4 linked regions of the Xenopus tropicalis genome follow. The protein of the gene in region 2 purifies or fractionates together with the protein of the main gene of each other region. This does not show direct contact. Links are inferred from orthologs where the notes say so. Each region holds a gene or a part of one and is shown on either strand. Other genes may lie near its edges. The genes, in order: tgfb1i1, hspb1, daxx and g6pd.

What was found.
Region 1: the proteins of hspb1 (region 2) and tgfb1i1 purify together in Homo sapiens (affinity purification with western blotting; 3 studies listed by BioGRID). This does not show direct contact. The link is inferred for Xenopus tropicalis from reciprocal best matches to the Homo sapiens genes HSPB1 and TGFB1I1.
Region 3: the proteins of hspb1 (region 2) and daxx purify together in Homo sapiens (affinity purification with western blotting; 3 studies listed by BioGRID and IntAct, with this or other methods). This does not show direct contact. The link is inferred for Xenopus tropicalis from reciprocal best matches to the Homo sapiens genes HSPB1 and DAXX.
Region 4: the proteins of hspb1 (region 2) and g6pd fractionate together in Homo sapiens (co-fractionation; 3 studies listed by BioGRID and IntAct, with this or other methods). This does not show direct contact. The link is inferred for Xenopus tropicalis from reciprocal best matches to the Homo sapiens genes HSPB1 and G6PD.

Annotation. Positions count from the first base shown.
Region 1 is NC_030685.2:14,005,697-14,009,481, forward strand, and holds part of tgfb1i1 (transforming growth factor beta-1-induced transcript 1 protein), read left to right. Parts: coding exon 1-27; intron 28-956; coding exon 957-1,130; intron 1,131-1,854; coding exon 1,855-1,936; intron 1,937-2,676; coding exon 2,677-2,825; intron 2,826-3,462; coding exon 3,463-3,729; 3' UTR 3,730-3,785. UniProt on the Homo sapiens protein: Functions as a molecular adapter coordinating multiple protein-protein interactions at the focal adhesion complex and in the nucleus. Links various intracellular signaling modules to plasma membrane receptors and regulates the Wnt and TGFB signaling pathways.
Region 2 is NC_030678.2:94,195,956-94,201,297, forward strand, and holds the start of hspb1 (heat shock protein beta-1), read left to right. Parts: upstream 1-2,001; 5' UTR 2,002-2,049; coding exon 2,050-2,431; intron 2,432-5,342. UniProt on the Homo sapiens protein: Small heat shock protein which functions as a molecular chaperone probably maintaining denatured proteins in a folding-competent state. Plays a role in stress resistance and actin organization.
Region 3 is NC_030684.2:72,201,965-72,207,137, reverse strand, and holds the start of daxx (death domain-associated protein 6), read left to right. Parts: upstream 1-1,986; 5' UTR 1,987-2,172; intron 2,173-5,173. UniProt on the Homo sapiens protein: Transcription corepressor known to repress transcriptional potential of several sumoylated transcription factors. Down-regulates basal and activated transcription.
Region 4 is NC_030684.2:25,680,410-25,685,679, reverse strand, and holds the start of g6pd (glucose-6-phosphate 1-dehydrogenase), read left to right. Parts: upstream 1-2,026; 5' UTR 2,027-2,071; intron 2,072-5,270. UniProt on the Homo sapiens protein: Catalyzes the rate-limiting step of the oxidative pentose-phosphate pathway, which represents a route for the dissimilation of carbohydrates besides glycolysis.

The sequences.
Region 1 (3,785 bases), on a different chromosome or scaffold from region 2:
AGCTGTCAGCGTCCCATAGCTGGGCAGGTAATATACACTATGTATACCCCTGCCTCACCTCTAGGGGGCAATGTCACAATATATGCTCTCGGTCAAGTAGAATCTATCAGCAGAATAGAAACCAACCAGCAGGTAACATTTGCTTGTCACCTGTTTGAAAGCAAACATTTGATTGGTTACTATGGGTTACTAGACCAAGAGCAAAGCTTAGGACTATTATTACATTAGTGCAGAATATGCTGATTTATGGATCCATAGTCCATCATTTATTCTTGCACCCCCGGAAACATTTTGGTGGAAATTTGTGTGAAGTTTCATTCCTTTTAAATGAAGTAATGATGAAGTGATGTTGATGAAGAGTTGGCCTTGATGACAAAGTCTTTTCTGAAGGTCAGTAATTCGGTGCCCATAGTCCCAAAATCAAAGTTCTTTCTACCGTAACATTTCCCCTCCCACCGTGTGTGTAAAAATCACAACCGTGTATGATGTTTTGATACTTTTCTTGTTCAAATTTGCCCAAGAACACGGTTTTCCAGTTCTACAAGCAGGAAATACAAACAAGAGTCATCCAACCATGAAGCTGAAGACGGCCAGACAGCAGGCGGTGGGAGATAACAAGTTCTGCAGACAAGGCACCTTATCTTCATAGTGATAGTTTAATTGAAGTATGACAACTGTATGTACTATGTAATTATACTGTGAAAGGTCTAGTAACCCATAGCAACTGGTTTTTACTGGGTTAGTCCAGTTAAACGAACAAAACTGTACATTTTGACCTTGTATAGAGTCTGTAAGTGCCTGTATGTTGTCTTGGTTGCATTTACCCCAGTGCCCCAGTGCCCCAGACTAAGCCATTCCTGCTGCTGAAACAACAGCTTCTTGTCCTGGGGTTGTGCTGTGGTAATGAAGGGGTTCTTGTTGGATTTTGTTAAATTGTGACCCATTGTCTTCTTCAGGTGGTTACCGCTCTCGGACATACCTGGCACCCAGAGCATTTTGTGTGTGCCCACTGCCACGCTCTGATTGGCACAACCAACTTTTTCGAGAAGGACGGTCGACCATATTGTGAGAAAGACTACTTTATGCTCTACGCCCCACGCTGTGCTCTATGTGAACTGCCCATAGTGCAGGTAACGTACCTGTGGGGAATGTTATAAAAGTTACAACATATGTACTAGGCTTGGTAGTGATTTAATATAGGGGTATAGGTTGCTGATTGGTGGCATTTAGTAATTTGCTGCTGTGAGCCACTGAGTTAGCCCTGGATCAAACAGTAGTTACAGGGCTCTAGCCTCTTGGAATATACATAAGGCGCAGGCAAGAATGTTGACTGTTCCACCCCGTGGTCCTTTTGTCTCATTGACAACCTGGGGGTAAGGCTGGACTCTGGACTCTGGAAGACCACAAGAGCTTACTAGTGGGGGTTCCAAAGCAATCATATCAAACTGGACTTTACCCTAAAGGTGGCCATACACTTTGAGATCTGCTCATTTGGTGAGGTTGCAAAACAAGCGGATCTTCTCCCAATATTCCCATCTAAGGTGGGTGATATTGAGCTAATTTGATCGTATGGCGGCCAAAGGCATCGTCGGGCCGAGGACTGCACCAGTGAGTCAATGCAGTCCCCAATCTGATGGGAAAAGCAAACCTGCCCAATTGACACCTAGTCAGATATCAGGGGAAGCCCATTGGGGGGGCACCATACATGGGCACGTAAGCTTTCAAATCAGTCTAAAGGAATCAAATTGGCTGCTTAAATCTGACTGTGTATGGCCACCTTTATACTGGTACATTTATTACTGCTATATTGACCCAGATTTCCTGTTTCTAATACTATTTTCTCTTTCCCTTCAGAACATGGTTACGGCACTTGGGTGCACTTGGCATCCGGAGCATTTTTGTTGTAAAGTCTGCAAAAAACCAATAGGGGAAGAGGGTGAGTATTCCCATTCCAGTGCCCCCTGATTGTCACAGTGCATTCCCCAGCCAGGCATTCCATTATATCCAATACCAATACACCCTCAAGGCATGTTTTGCACTATAATACCTATTATTGTGATATAATGCATTGCCTATAATGGTGTCACCATATATCCTATTGCCACATAGTGCATGATCTACCTCTTGTGATGCTGTAAGGCTTTACTTTTTGTGCAATAAATAGTGAATAAAGTACCCCCATTGTAAAATATAAGGATATTATAAGGAGTCCTATGACCATATAAAAGCACGAGGCTGAAGGCCGAGGTCATGGAGCTCTGAGGTGACTAGCCTTAAATGTTGGTCCCTCATTCTAATGTATCCTTGGCGTGTAACTGGCGTGTCAGTACAGCTGGCATGTAGCCAACTTTGTACAACAGGCTCATTAGCCCAAAGGTGATTGATTGAGCTCTCGCCATGACGGTGCCTTTCATGCCCCAGAGACAACTTGCCCAGTATATGTACATTCTTGCCTTCAGGCACATTTTTGGCATTTTTGAAATGCTGTATGCTATGCAATACACAGCAGCTGTGTGCCCTCAAATCTGCCCCAACGGGTTGGGGTACCTGATCTTTCGGGGGTATCCTGCTCTATAACATTACCCACAGTGCAATGCTTTGGCCCCTAGCTGTAGCACCTCTCTTTGTAAATGTGTCCCCATAAGTAACTTTCCCCTTGCTTGGTCTCTCTTGCAGGTTTCCATGAGAAGGATGGGGAACAGTACTGCTCAGATGACTATTTCCGACTGTTTGGGGCCGTCTGCGCAGGCTGCTCTGAGGCGGTGAAGGAGAGTTATATCTCTGCCCTGGGTGGCTTGTGGCACCCACAATGCTTTGTGTGCCATGTGAGTAACGCGCTTATGGGTGCTCATGTTTCCTTGCACAGAGCTTTGGCTCTCCCATTATCTATAGTCATCAGTGCTAAACTACCCCCCAGTGAGGGGACAAATACATGTGCAGTCCTGCTGATATATTCATTGTACTGTGTCTGACAAACAGTATGTCAGCTCCCCCCTGTGTGTATAAATGCAACTGCAGTCATACAGGGAGCTCTGAGTATCACTCATGTATTATAAGGGATAATGTACCCCCTACTGTAAATGATAAGGATATTAGCAGTCACTGAGGGGTTCTGTGCCCATATAAAGGCACAAGGCTGCAGGCTGAGTTATACAGGGAACTCTGAGTATCACTCATGTATTATAAGGGATACTGTACCCCCTACTGTAAATGATAAGGATATTAGCTGTCACTGAGGGGTTCTGTGCCCATATAAAGGCACAAGGCTGCAGGCTGAGTTATACAGGGAACTCTGGGTATCACTCATGTATTATAAAGGATAATGTACCCCCTACTGTAAATGATAAGGATATTAGAAGTCACTGTGACTATATAAAGTCAGTATGTCATGTGACATAATTTTTGGTATTATATGTATGTATGTATCATGTTTAACTCTTTCTTTACCGCTTTATACTGTAGGTGTGCCACACACCATTCATCAATGGAAGTTTCTTTGAGCACGAAGGCTTACCTCTATGTGAGACTCATTACCACTCCCGCCGTGGGTCGCTGTGTGCTGGGTGCGAGCAGCCAATAACAGGGCGCTGTGTGACTGCAATGGGCAAGAAGTTCCACCCCCAACACTTGAATTGCACCTTTTGCCTCCGACAGCTGAACAAGGGCACCTTCCGGGAGCATGATGGGAAACCTTACTGCCAGGCCTGCTACGCCCGGCTGTATGGGTAGAGGGGTTCCATGGTTTCAGGAAAGGAGGGTCCATCTGAAATATGCAGCTTCACAAA
Region 2 (5,342 bases):
AAAATTAAGATTTCTCGAAAAATGCTGGGTTGTCCTGAATGCAAATTGATATTCTATCCCAGCGTATTCTAGAGATCTGTTAACCTTAAGAAATCTGGGCATTTTTTATTGTTAGATAAACCTTCCTTTATAAATCAGTGTCAGGGATACTGTGCTGCTGTTAAACTACATCTCTCAGACATCTAAAGGCTGATCAGCAACAACAATACAAATGCATTCTGACCGGAAGAAAATAACATACCCTATGTAAAATATAAGGATATTTTTTACCATATTTCTCTTACAGTTCATGGCAACGCAAGGTAATTTGTAATATCATCATACATTAGGAATAGGGGAGGAAGTTTTTATAAAACACAGTTTTCAGTGAATCATGTGACAACTGATATCACGAAACACTGATTTTAATAATTTATATAATTAATCACTAGGGTTGCTACCTATCCAGTTTTGAACAGAATAGCTGTTTTTTATAGGGGACTGTTGTTCAAAACTTTTTAGCATTGTAAAACCTGGATTAAAATTGCCCAGTTGCACACCTGCAATATCAAAGCCCCACCAAGATCATAACTCTGCTCTCAAGTGTCCCTGACCCAATGGCTGACATCATGGTTCTGCCCTCAATGTCATTACCCTACTTTTTAACGTCATTGTCTTGCCCACTTTGTCCTGGTCCACCACAATGATGGCAATCCCACTAAGCATCCTTTAAAAGCAAATATGTTACATGTTATGCATGGCTCTGATTATGAAAAACACAATGAAGAACAGACTAAGTTGGTTGTCACAGTTCATGAAACATCACATAATACTTTGTGGGTATATCTTAGTGACACATTTTTAATGAACACTGGAATTTTATTACAGCTTTCTCATTCTTTCTCAAAATAGTGTAAAAAATTCCTCTGTAGTTTTGCAAGGGCTATTGTAGATTGTTATATTCTGAGTCAAGAGATCTTATAAGGATGGCTCGCTTAAAGGCTAAGGAAAGTCATTTTGGCAATTTACTGCCAATAGATTCTCCACTTTAGTGCCACCTAGAACGCTATATTTATTCTGCAGAAAGCATTACCATACCTGAGTAAAGATTCCTAGAAGCTTTCTCTGTTTTCTGTGCAGCTGCCATTTTAGCTTGGGTTCATAGCTTCCTGCAGTAGATCTAGAGGCTGATAGCCCATATTACACATTCCTAAGGATGGGGGGAATAAGTTTTATGTATTCTTATGGGAAGGGGGAGCAGAAGGGAGAGAGAGAACTAAGCCAACTCAGGGCCCAGGAATGAAGGATTTTTTGAGAGAGGAAGTCAGATACCCTAAGAACATGTTTACAAAAAAGGAGACAAGAAATCCTGTGTTTCTTTTGATAGAGGACTCTGTGAGTCCTTATGGCTGTATTTACATAGACCTTTTTGATAAAGCTTACTTAGTTTTTACCTTTTCTTCTCCTTTAAGTATTTGTATATGGTGTATGCTGGTGCTTTATAACAATGTTGAAAAAAATACAATGTTAATATATTCTTCTCTTCATGTAACAATTCATTTCTTTTATGGTTAAAAATAAAACTAGGAATAATCTTTTTACCTCTTTACAGTAGGCAACTTTGGACCTGGTCAGTAACCCATAGCAGCAAGTCAATGATTAGCTTATTTAAACAAGGAGTAGGTAGAACAATGAAAGCAAACATCTAATTTGTTGCCATGAGGTTCTCTACATTCTACCCTAATTTGCTTTCCTAAAATGTATTCTGCAAAGTCATCAATAGAGAAAGCATCAGTTTATAGACCCTTTACCCCCTTGGGAACTTGAGAAGGCTACAAGTTAAGTTTACCCAGTTTATGAGAGAGTGCCCTGTCATTGTATTGTCATGCAGAGATGCCAGACATTTCCATCACAACTACATGTGTAATTTCCATTAATAGAATGCTCATTCCATCAGCTAAAAATAACCAGCTAGCTCTTCATAAAGCCGCTGCACCTTCCAGACCCTCAGAGCAACCACAGGCCGAACAGAGTAAAGAGCACTTACTAGCTGGCACAGGTCTAGAGAAAATGTCAGAACGCAGAATACCATTCTCCTTCCTCCGCACTCCAAGCTGGGACCCATTTCGGGACTGGTACCAAGGCACCAGTCGCCTTTTCGATCAGTCATTCGGTATGCCACGTATTCCCGAGGACTGGTACCAATGGCCCAGCACCAGCTGGCCAGGCTATGTTCGCATGCTTCCAAGCCAGTCCATGGAAGTTGTCCCCCCCACCACACCTGCTGGTGCAACTGCTCCTGACTTTAATCGTGCCCTCAGCCGCCAGCTTAGCAGTGGAATCTCAGAGATCCGTCAGACTTCAGACCAATGGAAAATCAGCTTAGATGTCAACCATTTTGCCCCAGAGGAGCTGGTCATAAAAACTAAAGATGGCATCGTGGAAATTACAGGTATGGCATGGCTAACCTCATATACTAGCAATAATAGTATAACATTCTACATTGATTATTTTAAAAAATGCCTTTCACATACTGTTTTGCTGTATAATTCCAACACACTGCATTACCACTTCTAATAAATGCACTTAGCAGGGCTGCACTGGTTGCAAAGTAATTACATTTCCCTGAACTTTCAAGCAATTTTGTAATCGATTTTCAAGCTCATAGGACAAAGGACACCTAGTTCCTTACCATAGCCTGGATACAACATGATAGAAAAGTTAAACAAAAGCCATACTGAGACCATCTCCAAGAGGTGACTTCCTTACCTATGCAGCTCTGTCATGCCTAGAATGAAAAGGCACACTCTGTTTTCTGGTACAAAATCACATGTGACGGTTGTCTCCTTCATTGGGCACAGCTACCCCTGCTAGCTAACGTACCTGCCTCTCACCTCGGAGGAATAACCCATACCTAGCTAGCCTAACCAAGGACATCCAGCTCCACCTAGGACTGGGCTCTTAAATGTCCACCTTGAAGTTTCTAAGGCCAATGCGGCACTTCCTTTATCTCTACCCTGTAATACAGTTTATTGGGTCCAAGACCTACCCCTACTTAAAACTTCCCAAATCAATTCCTAACTATGGCCAACCTACTCTACTGCCAGCAGAATCATCTGCCATATATACTGGAGGTAATTTATATAGAATTTATGTAGACCTAGAGCAGAAGAGCAAGTGCACTTAGGGGCACAACAGCATGTCCCTTCTCCATTTTTGCCTTAAAATGCAGCTTCATAAGCCAGTCCTATCATCACAGCCTGGACAGGTTGTAAGGAGCACCATTGCAGTTAGCATCTGCCTTCACTCCCTAACTTGTGTGCTTGAATGATAAACAAGTTAGGGGGCAGTGGGAGTAAAACATTACCGGTGCTGCTGTTCATAGCAGCCAACCAGATGTTTGCTTTGGTTTAAAATCTAATTGCTGATTGGTGCCCTAGGCAATGTCACAGTTAGTGTTTCAGTCCACTTTTTACACATGATAAATATTTCCCCTAGTTTGTTACCCATTAAAATTATTATGCAGTACTGTAAGGGCCGGATTTATAGATTTTGCACGCCTAGCCCTGCTCACCACTTGCTTCCCCTTCTCCACGCCACTGCTGTCTATATATATATATATATATATATAATATATATATATATATATATATAAGTCACTCTGCAGCATTGCAGCTACAAATAGCTAGGACTGAAGTATTAAAGGACAGTATTAAAGAGGAATCTCATGAAACATTTTTTTTGTAAAGTAATTAAGCTTACAGTTAGTTATTTTATATAATGACATTATTTTGCCTCTCTATCATGTCCTTCTCCTTCAAGTTTTGGTTAGTCACACACTCACAGAAAAAAGGCAATATTGTTGTGCACAAATCATAATAATCATACGATACTTCTGCAAATAGAAAACTTGATCATCTCTATTTCTGCCTCAGCTCATTTTTCCAACTCATTTTTAAAACATATCCTATGGTCTATTTAACACACAGTAAACTGTAGAAATGTAATGGGGGTGGGGGAGACCACACTGAAACTGTGGTATGGGTGCTGACAAATTTCACATAGAGCAGCAGGTGGCAGCGATTACAATAGTTATATATAACTAGGGGAAGTAGAGGAATCATATTGTTAGATAATAGGTTTAATTTATGAATGCTCGGGGCAAAAAGGGTCACAGAAGTTCTCATAAAAATGGCATAACCAATGTTCTTGCACCTACTTGCATTCATCTCAATTTGCCTTCCATCTGGCAATAATGCAAATTGCTAGTGGGAAAACATATGCATCACTTTAGGTTTATGAAGTTGTTAAAGTTGCCTTGCAAGTAAACTATAGGCATTGAGGCATTTGGAGGAGATTAAAGGTCCACAATAACGATTTGTTGCAGGCGACTAATCTCCTCTTGTGCCATTGAGATTGGTCACTCGTGGTTAAATCTTGGCTACTGTGGGTGACTAATCTCTTTGAAATGCCTTCCCACAGGAAATAAAGTGAATAGCAGATGGAAAACAAAATGCTGCATATTTTTTCCCACAGGTTATTCATTATATTGCAAGTGGAAAGGCATTTTGGGGAGATTAGTTCCCTGCGAATAATATCCCTGTGGGCCATGGCCCTTAAGCAAGTCGGCTTGCTCAATAATCTTGAAATGGTTTCAACACAGTCCAGGCAGCCCTGTGCTGTAGACTTATCATTGATAAGCCTTAGAACACAAAGCTGGCATCAGATGCATTTATCAGTCGTGTTTAAGAGTAGAAAGAGACAAGGTTTATTAGATATGCCATTAGCAGCGCAAGTCTTTTGAGGGTAACTGGGGTATTGTATATTCAAGGGTAAAGCTGTACCATGTGCTGAATGTATCATGTATCAATAGACCCAAATGGACAATGTCTCCAGCACATCAGTTTAGATAACAGACATTTGTTGTAGCAACTGAGGCTTTGTTGCTAGTAATAAGGCTTTATCAGTAAGCCAGTGACATTTCAGTATGTAACCTAACTAAGAGAAAAGCTACTATATATAGGACAAGGTCATCATGATTTATTTATATAGAAATAGAATGTAAAGATGGTTACCTTTGTATTTACAGCACTAAGATAAAATATTAGATTAGGAAAGGGCAGAATATTTTTATGAATATAAACATCCATTTCTCTGGTAATTTTTACTTCAGAAAATTGATTTCTAAATGCAGTATCACTAATAAGCTGTAATAGTTATATGCAATACAGAGAAACAAAATTATTAAAGTGCATGGCCCTCCTGCCCCATACAGCCTTAGCTCTAAATGTGATACATGCATGCAATAAAATAAATGGAATATTAAAAAAATATGTATATAATAAACAACTGTCACATTCACT
Region 3 (5,173 bases), on a different chromosome or scaffold from region 2:
GGGTAGAATTGGTCAATAAAATGTTCCCGCTAATTAAGCTTACATATGAATCCAGAGGCCAGCCGAACAAATTTGACAGAGTCTGTCAGTCTGGGGAGGCTGGCTGGATACTCACCTGATTGATTTACCTTGAACTATATATGCGAACATTCTTGTATGTTATTGAATGATAATATGGAAAACTCAACTATGGCTGTACCCCTCCCCCCCCCCCTTTTTCCTTTCTGTATCCCTACCCTTATATACTGATATAAGCAATAAAAAGAATTTCTGTTAAAAAAAAAAAAATATTCGGAAATAATTTTTTACTGTGAGAGCTGTGAAGTTGTGGAATTCCCTCCCTGAATAGTCGTACTGGCTGATACATTATATAGCTTCAAGAAGGGGTTGGATGGCTTTTTAGCAAGTGAGGGAATACAGGGGTAGGGGAGATAGCTCTCAGTACAAGTGAGGGAATACAGGGGTATGGGAGACAGCTCTCAGTACAAGTGAGGGAATACAGGGGTATGGGAGATAGCTCTCAGTACAAGTGAGGGAATACAGGGGTATGGGAGATAGCTCTCAGTACAAGTGAGGGAATACAGGGGTATGGGGGATAGTTCTTAGTACAAGTTGATCCAGGGACTGGTCCGATTGCCATCTTGGAGTCAGGAAGGAATTTTTTCCCCTCTATGGCAAATTAAAGAGGCTTCAGATGGGGTTTTCTGCCTTCCTCTGGATCAGTGCTGTCCAACTGGCGACCCCCTCTGTGTGGCCCCCCACCTGTCTGGCTGCTTTGATGGCTTACCTTTGTGTAAACTTTAAATGGTATCAGTACTGAGATTAACTGCCCCCCTGCATTGTTCTCACCTCAGATTCAGGCTGTAAACCCCTGTATTGTTTAAAAATGTAATCCCCTGTGTTGTTCACACCTTTTAATCCCTGCATAGCTGACCTATGCTGTCTGTGTGTATGGCACACACAGGTAGAGCAGGCAGAGTATGGCACACACTGGCAGCATAGGGCAGGGAGGGTATGGCACACACACGCAGCTAAGGGCAGGCAGAGTATGGCACATGCAGGCAGCATAGGGCAGGGATGGTATGGCACACACAGGCAGCATAGGGCAGGGAGGGTATGGCACACACAGGCAGCATACGGCAGGGAGGGAATGGCACACACAGGCAGGGTAAGGCAGGCAGAGCATGACACACAGGCAGCTAAGGGCAGGCAGAGTATGGCACACACAGGCAGGGAAGGGCAGGCAGAGTATGGCACACACACGCAGCTAAGGGCAGGCAGAGTATGGCACATGCAGGCAGCATAGGGCAGGGATGGTATGGCACACACAGGCAGCATAGGGCAGGGAGGGTATGGCACACACAGGCAGCATACGGCAGGGAGGGAATGGCACACACAGGCAGGGTAAGGCAGGCAGAGCATGACACACAGGCAGCTAAGGGCAGGCAGAGTATGGCACACACAGGCAGGGAAGGGCAGGCAGAGTATGGCACACACAGGCAGGGTAGGGCAGGCAGAGTATGGCACACACAGGCAGCTAAGGGCAGGCAGAGTATGGCACACACAGGCAGGGAAGGGCAGGCAGAGTATGGCACACACTGGCAGCATAGGGCAGGCAGAGTATGGCACACACAGGCAGCATAGGGCAGGCAGAGGCATACTTTATGGTTGAACTTTATGGATATATGTCTTTTTTCAACCTAACTTACTATGTTACTATGTAATGTAACACAAGCCAGCAGACTGAGAGAGCTGTCTTGCTGCAGGAGATGAATCAGTACAGTTTTACCAGTAAGTCATACCTAGAGCCTCCCTAAACTTAAAAAGATTACTGTATCAGCCTCAGTGCCTGGACAGCAGTACCAGCACCATAGGGAAAGAGACTGGGTTATGCTAATTGTACTAAAAAACAACTCATTGCGGCTCAGACTTCCCTACGCAAGGTTACGTTACGTCGCAAGCACCGCCCACTTTCTTACACGGAAACGGAAGCAGATAGTGGAATAGCTGAATCTAAACGGGACCGGAAGCGGACGTTGAGTGGGACTGGCGCGATAATTTTCCGATTATACCGTATGTTATTTGTGTTTGGGAATACGATTTTTATAATATAGTCTGTGCGCCTATGGTACTACGTGTGGCAGATTGCTAAAAATTCGGCTACTCACCAAGGTAATCACCTGCTTATTTAGCTTTCTATATATTGGGGTGGTATTGTAGTAACAAAAAGATTTTGGAAGAAGTCTTGTAACCTGACAGGCGTAACATTTGGCAGCAGTTAAAGACAAGTAGAGAAGTGTTCTGTGTCCGTGCAAATGCAGTTGGTCTGTGGCCCTGCTAGCTGCCTTGGAACTCCCGTCTGTCACACACATACGGCAGCCGCGGTGGCGAGATGTTATAGCTCCATGTGTATTTAATGGCATTAAAGCTATCTGATTATTTTATAGACATTAATGTTGTGTGCAGACTTATTGTAGGGACCTCCTTCCCTTTTTAATGCGAATTATAAAATAGAAAGTGAGAAAAAGGGAGAAAAGCAAAGAAAAAAGAAAAAGAAAAGCCAAATGTACCTTATAAAATGGTAGGGCTTTGTTTACAGCCTCTATCTGAATCTATTCCACTAAGTATAATTTCTTTTTTTACATAGAACTATACAGGTAGAAGGAAAGTATTCTGCAGGAGGTGATTCCAGTAGTCAGACCTAAAACTGCAGTTGCTGGGTTGGGTTCTATTTTCAGGACCATTCCCTTAGAAATAAAAGCTAAGATCAGGATTCAATAATCATGGATATCCGGACAAGACAGTTTTACATGTAACCAGGCCCCAGGACCACCTTTACATCTGGGGCATGTGCCCCTTGTTTGGGTTAAGATCATTTAAGCTGTGCCCAGTGTGAAATTTTGGGTTTCATGTCCACCACAATGGGATCAGCATTGTTTAGTTTGAAAAGCTTTATGTCCTTCGTCGACATTTCACCTAAATATTAAAGTTTATTAACCCAGAAGAGGGGGGCATATATGGGGGTAATTCAGGGACCCCCATTTCTATTTTCCTCTTCCTACATCACACTTAGCTTTAGAGTTTAGTAAATCCTGTAGCATTAGTTTACATGACTGGCAAACCTCATTTTCTGCTTTATAATTTGTGAGGACCCCTAAGCTTTTTAACAGCTGCCCATAGCCCACTGAGCGTGTGAGTGTCACCGGCACTTCTAACAGAAGATGGGGAGCTCCTGTCATGAGTTTGAAGGTCTGGATCATTACTAATATAGAGATGCTGAACCTTTAGGCTGGTCCAATAATTTCAGTTTCTAGCCATATTACTTTTTAGGGTATAATTATTCTTTTAAAGGACATGTAAACCCCACACACAAAAATTTAATCAGCGAACAGCCTCTTTGAAATCTTTAATAGTAAGGCTGCAACATCTCCTTAATCACTTAGATGCTCCTCCTGTAACCCACTCGGCCCCCACCCTCAGGAATTTGCTTTGACTTCTGGCTTGTGGACATGCTCAGTTGTTCTAAGCTCAGATTACTAGACACGCCCTCCAGTCTTAGCAGCCAGTGAAGAGATGGCATTGCTGGTTCCCATAGAAACTCAGCTCTAGCTGTCTGCTTCAATTTTTTTCTCCTAACCTCCTCTCCTGAGCTCAACTCAAACAAAGCAGAACTTTTATCAAAGACAGTTGTGCCTGTGTAAGCCTGTATTCTTGATGGAATGTATGCTGAATAAGGGTCTGTGTGTGTGTATGCTGTTTGCATATTTAAATGTATCTGATTATGTATTAGAGGAAAAATGGCCACCAGGTGAAAGCTGCTATTTGCTTTAGGAAAATGTGATGGTGCTAGCAAGCGGAGAGGATATATGCAGTGCAAATGATGTCATTTGGGTGGGGGAGACGTGCCCAACTGATATACATTGTAGGCAAATGTAGGGTTTACATGTCCTTTAAGTATACAATTCCTGTAGAAGTGACTGGAAAAAAAACATGAAGCAGCACGTGATCTCATTCAGCTCATTCTTGTTGAAATTGAATATAAAACACTAATATCCTCACCAACTTATAAAGTCAACTGGCTGAATAGCCAATTCACAATTAAGTGCAATGCAGATTGCACTGTTTTTTTGTGCAGCTATTTAGTATATATCTGCTTAGAAGTCTACCAGCACATAATTTTATGAAATATATTTAATTGAGGTCAACAGTGGTTTCTACACAACTTCCAAGAATCAGAAAAGATAAAAATGATTTGGCCTTACATAATGTATTTCCAATCCCTCCTATCTGGCATTGTATCAAATGAACTGAGGTGTGAAGTTGTGGAAAATCTATTTTTAAAGTGGTTGTACCTGCATTTACATTAGTTTTAAGAAATGGATGGATGACTTTTTAGGCAAATAAAAAAAGCTCCTGCCTCATTTGCGTTTAGGCGGATATCGGCTACATGTGCCTGCACCCGAGCGTATTCAATTCATTCGGGTGCAGGCACAGGTAGGGGGATTTTTAAGCGTATAGAGCATATTCTCAGCATGCGTTTTTCGGCTTGCCAAAAATATGCGCCATATGCTACGTGTGGGCCCAGGAGCCTCAGTAAACACCCTCACCTGACCATAGGCTAATATACGAATCACTGCAACTAATCCTGCAGCAGTTTGCGGTGTGCTAATTAGTTGTCGCATTTCACCTCCTATTTCTGCACCCTGCCATCCTCTCCTACCTTCCCCAACATTTATAGTTTTCATTTGTTTTTTTACTAAATTGGGTATGTCTAGCTAAGATTTTTTTTGTTTCAATATTGAAATTAATGTAAACACTAAATGTACTGTATAATATATCATATTTTATCTCTCTGGTTTGCATTTTTAGTCATTTTGTAGTAGCTGTTGGTTGGTTGTTAATGCCAATAGCACAATAAGGCTATTAAAAGTAGTATTTTGACCATTGATCTCAATGTGCTAAAAGTTTTCTTTTTATTATTTTAGTTCATTTATTGCATTCTCCATTGTTCTTCATTACTTGTTTTTGCCTGTGTAAATTTCCTGTAGAACTTTCCATTGTGTGGGGCCTCTATAGGACTCATAAATTTGTAATGTTATGTTTATTGGGCTTCAAACTGTTCATAAGAGCCCTGGCATTTATATTTGAGTTGTTGTATCTTAGTCATTTGACA
Region 4 (5,270 bases), on a different chromosome or scaffold from region 2:
ATTAGGTTTCATATACACCTGTATATATGCATGTCAGGAACCCTGAGCTATATTCTACTATAATGGGATTTTACCAGGGGCCACATTATTCTATATAAGTATCAGTGGGTGGTGCTGTGAATGACATCACTAAGTGCTGATTATAAACAATGACATCACTAGGTGCCATATCTGTATATGAATATTTTTACAGGTTAATCATTGCTCTTGTATGTGTTTAATGTGTGCGCACGTAACTCTGAAATTCATATTGGATCTATGTATATTATATGTATGTATAAGTGATCCATAGTTGGGAACTGTTCCTAATGACCAGGCACTGTGCCAGTTGCTGACCAATTGCAGCATTTTGTTATTCCAGTGATAATAAAGCAATTTTTATGGTTTTCTCTTTCATTTCCCTGCAGAGTCCTCCCTCCTGACCCAAAAACACCTATGTACCCCAATAGGCAGAGGAAGTCATATATATGGCAGCTGCCAACCCTGCTGCTCTACTCTGCCTTAAATCCTGATGTACGAGGAAGCATAAGGCTGGAACTAGGGCTAGGCAGCAGGGGCATGTGACTCAATCACAGTTGGGGGGCACAGGCTGGACTGGCATTCAGGGCCAGAACTAGGGGTAGGCAGAAGAGGCAGCTGCCTAGGGGGCAACGATTGAAGGGCGCCAGGCAGGAGCCTCTCTTGCCTACCCCTAGTTAGTGCTCCATTTTCATTACCCCTGCCGCGGTGGGGGCAATGAACTTTCACATCGCACCCCCCCGCCAAAACACACGGGGGGTGCAATGCAATAGTGCAGGGACTAGGTGGCCACCCGGGTTGCCTTGGGTGGCCGGTTGGCTCAGTCCACCCCTGCTGGCATTCCAAGTACACAGAGGCCCAAACAGCCCCCACCAGCCCAATAAATAGTGACTGGAAGAGCGGGAGCAAGCAGTGGGTGGCTGACCTGTAAATTGAACTGAAGTGGGGGATTGGTCCAGTTAGACAAGGGGGCACATTTACTAATCCACGAACGTCCGGAAAGCGTCCGAATGCGGTTTTTTCGTAATGATCGGTATTTTGCGACTTTTTTCGCGAATTTTTAGAGCGCTCAATACGAAAAAGTCGCGAAAATTTGCGAAAGTCGTAATGGCTATGCAAAAGTCGCGACAATTCAAGAAAGTCATAATGGCTATGAAAAAGTCGCAACAATTCACGAAAGTTATATTGGCTATGCAAAAGTCGCGACAATTCACGAAAGTCATAATGGCTATGCAAAAGTCGCGACAATTCACGAAAGTCATAATGGCTATGAAAAAGTTGCGACAATTCGCGCAAGTCGTAACGGCTACGAAAAAGTCGCTACGGTGACGAACAAATCGCAAAAAATACGAAAAAGTCGCAAAATGTTCGTTTCCAATCCAATTTTTTCCGATTCGGGATTCGGATTCGTGGATTAGTAAATCAGCCCCAAGGAGTCATGGGCCCTTCAGTGCCAATTATACTTGGCCTGGCTCTAGGGAAACATACTGTATTTGGGTGCTTGGTTTGGGATAGAGGTGTAAGGATTCTGCAGGGAACCAAAGAGGTATGAAGTGGTTTATTTCTCCTATAATACTATTTTGTCCCAATATAAATAATCCTTTCCATTTTTACCCTTGTCCCTTGTTGAATATTTGTGTTTCGCCGCACAACAATGCAATTAATTTAGTGATCTAAGTTTGCTTTATGGATATGAACCTAAAGTAGGAGATATAAATATTGTAAGATTGTAAGCTCTACTGGGGAAGGGATTGATGTGTAATTACTGCTTTAAAATCCAGTGCCAGAGAGTACTCTGGGATGTACAAGAGTGATGTGGGGAGAAAGGTGCATGGAGTAGAGCAGTGGAATGCTCAGTTTGGGAGGGATTTGATGAAGGGGAGTGGTGAAACATGCATAGTAGGCTGGGAGTCCCTAGACGGGAGCCTGCCTCTATGTCCCGCCCTATCAGACAAACACAACGCTCCTGGCATCTCTAGGGCACACACACAGCACTGACATCTCGAAGCACAAGCTAAACTTGATTCCCCTGAGTCGGCACAGCATCCCCTCAGTGAGTAACCAAACCCTATTGCAGTAATATGGGGGTCTCAAACTGGGTAGGGCACAGCTTGTTTAAGTTTACTCAATGGAAGCCTCTTTCACTTTCTAAAGGAAGGCTATATGTTTATCCTAGTCTGGGAATTTAGAGAGAACTGTCTGTCCTGTTTACTGGAATGTTATTGAGTCCTAGGAAAAGAATGGAAAATTGCAAGATGTAAACAGCTTGAGCTTTCTACGTTCAATTTATATTGTAGTGGGTTCCTCCCAAAATCCACTGAAGCTAAATGAAAGCAAGCAAATATGCTGGCACCAGGGCATCATGGTGAACACCTTAAGGCAGGGTATCGCTCCTTTTAAAGCCAAACACTTAACACTTATAAAATCACTTCTAAAATTCACGTGCTGAGTTATTATGCATTCTGCAGGGCTGCACAGTAGCCAGCACAGCACGCAGCATGTGTCTAAATACAGTTCTACTTAGCCATGAAGGATGTTGGTTAATTATGTGTCTGGTTTTAAATGGAGTGAGGTGTAACAACTGTCACTTGGATTTTAAACCTGTTTTTTCATTATAACACCCAGAAGCCAACATTAGGTAACTGGGCATGCTGGGGTTTGTAGGTTAGAAACAGCACTCCTCATCCTCGTGTTTGTGATGTGGTCACTTTAAAATTTGTTGCTCGTTTGCAAACTTTCCAGATCATTACCATGTGTATTACTTTGTGATTTTGCTTCCTGATGCAGGGGGTCATTCACAAACATATGAACATTTTTTCTCCTTCTTAGCAACCCATAGCAACAGAATTGGCACATTTCCCAGTAATTGTATTTCTCAGGCACTGGCACCTGGAACAAAGGCATCTTCAGTTTTGCTGGGGTCATCAGGCAGGTGATACTGACATTAGCTGGTGAAGAGAATGGTCTGTTCTTTAGATGTTGCTGAACTACCAAGCTGCATTGAATTAAGAGGACACTGTCCATGTCCAGAATAAAAATTAGAATCACTAAAGAAAATTCAATCCGACTTCCCAGTATACATTAAATAAATACAATGCCTTAAAAATTATCTTTGATTTAAAGCAGTACTTTATCTGTCACTTTCTACACTGCTGGTTCTGACTCTTGAAACAGTGCAGCAGCAGAAATCTGCCACAACGATCCCGTTAATCAGGTGGCTTCTGCTACATTGTTTCAGAAGTCAGATTCAGGTCAGAAAACAGCAAGGGACTTCTTTCAGTAGAATTTACAAATAACTAAATACGTTGAACTAAATACGTTGAATGTGTTTAAAGGGGTTGTTTAGCTTTGAGTTAACTTTTGGTATGATGTAGAGAGTAATATTTTGAGACAATTTGCAATTAGTCTTCATTCTTTATTATTTGTCGTTTTGTAATTATTTCACTTTTTGTTTAGAAATTCTCCAGTTTGAAATTTCAGCAGTTATCTGGTTGCTAGGGTCCAAATTACCTTAGTGACCGGACATTGGTTTGAATGAAAGAATCATATATTAATAGGAGAGGACCTAAGCAGAAAGAAAAGTAACAAAAAGTTACACTAACAATAAAATTGTAGCCTCACAGAACAATAGTTTTTGGCTGCTGGGGTCAGTGACCCCCATTTGAAAGTTGTAAAGAGTCAGAAGAAGAAGTCAAGTAATTTAAAAATTATAAAAAATAAATGATGAAGACCAATTGCTTAGAATTGGCCATTCTATGACATACTAAAAGTTAACTGAAATAAATGCATATTGGAAACCTGCTTACAATGACATTTGATTTCATTAGACTTTTTTGGCTTAAGATCCCCTTTAAGCCTTGTTACAGATCAGGAAGTAATGCAATATACTGAGAAGCAGCAATTGCTTGGTGAGCAACCCTTGCATAATTGGATCCGTCCCAGGAATAGGGATGGATTATCCTGGGCGTTCTGTTTATCTGGTGGAACAGGCAGTAACATTGTAACCTACTATTCTCCTGTATCAGTCTGCTGCAGGTGGGGACGGGAGGCATAACTTGCTAGTTTGTACTTATTACACTGTGGGGTGTTGGACACGTCTCCAAATTACGGAAGAGAAGACAATAGTTATGTAATGTTATGCAACAAGGGAAGCCTCCTCTGTAGCATTGCCAGTGTCGGGTCCATGGTCTTGCTCATCAGGCTCTGCCAGGTTCCAGCAGGGAAGGGGTTACAGTCAGATTATCAGTAGGCATTAAACAGTGATTTACTGCTGAATTCCAGCTAGGAAGTGGTGGTACATTTGCTGTATCATGCTGACTGTACCTCACCCTTTGTATTCATGTGCATGGATTTTTGGCATTCTCACTCTCCTCTTCTCTCTTCTGCTCACCTGACAAGCTCCTCCACCTATCCTAGCCCGGTGCCCACCCACCCTGTGCTGCTTCAGCATGCCCCGAGCTTGCATAACTGCCCCAGTGTATTAATTGCTCTTTAACCCATGAGGTATATGAAGAAAATAAGAGTTTCTTAACCCTTTTTGTGCCTATTTTGCACTGGAGCCAGTCGATCAATAAACTGAGGGTATAGCTTGCTGTTTGCATTGGATATACTTTCTGAGTACTTGCATTTATATATATGATGGTTTGGAGATGCCATGTTGCTTATCTATGTTCAAGCATTTTTTTTTTAGACTGCAGCATAAAACATAACCATTTAGGGCAGTGGTCCCCAACCAGTGACTTAAGGGCAACATGTTGCTCCCAGTGGCCTCAAAGCAGGTGCTTATTTTTGAATTCCTAGCTTAAAGGCAAGTTTTGGTTGCATAAAAAACAGATGTACTGCCAAGCAAAGACATCTGTAGGCTGCCATTCCATATAGGGGCTGCAGAACAACCAATCACAGCTCCTATTTTGAACCCCCAGGAACTTTTTGCATGCTTGTGTTGCTCCCCAACTCTTTTTACATTTGATTGTGGCTCACTGGTAAAAAAGGTTGGGGACCCCTGTTTTAGAGGGAAGACAGACAAGACAATTAGTCTACGTAATTTAAAAAAACATTGGAGATATGCGGTGTGGGAACTGCTATTCTCACCATGGCGATTAGTTTTTAAAAATCCTATTGTGGCAACTAAGCACCTCGTCTGTCCCTCAATGACTATTTCCTTGCAGCAGCTCCTCATATGTATGGTACAGGTCTACAGAGGCAGAACATTCTATGCCCATAAAATGCTTTAACCCATACTGTACTGTACT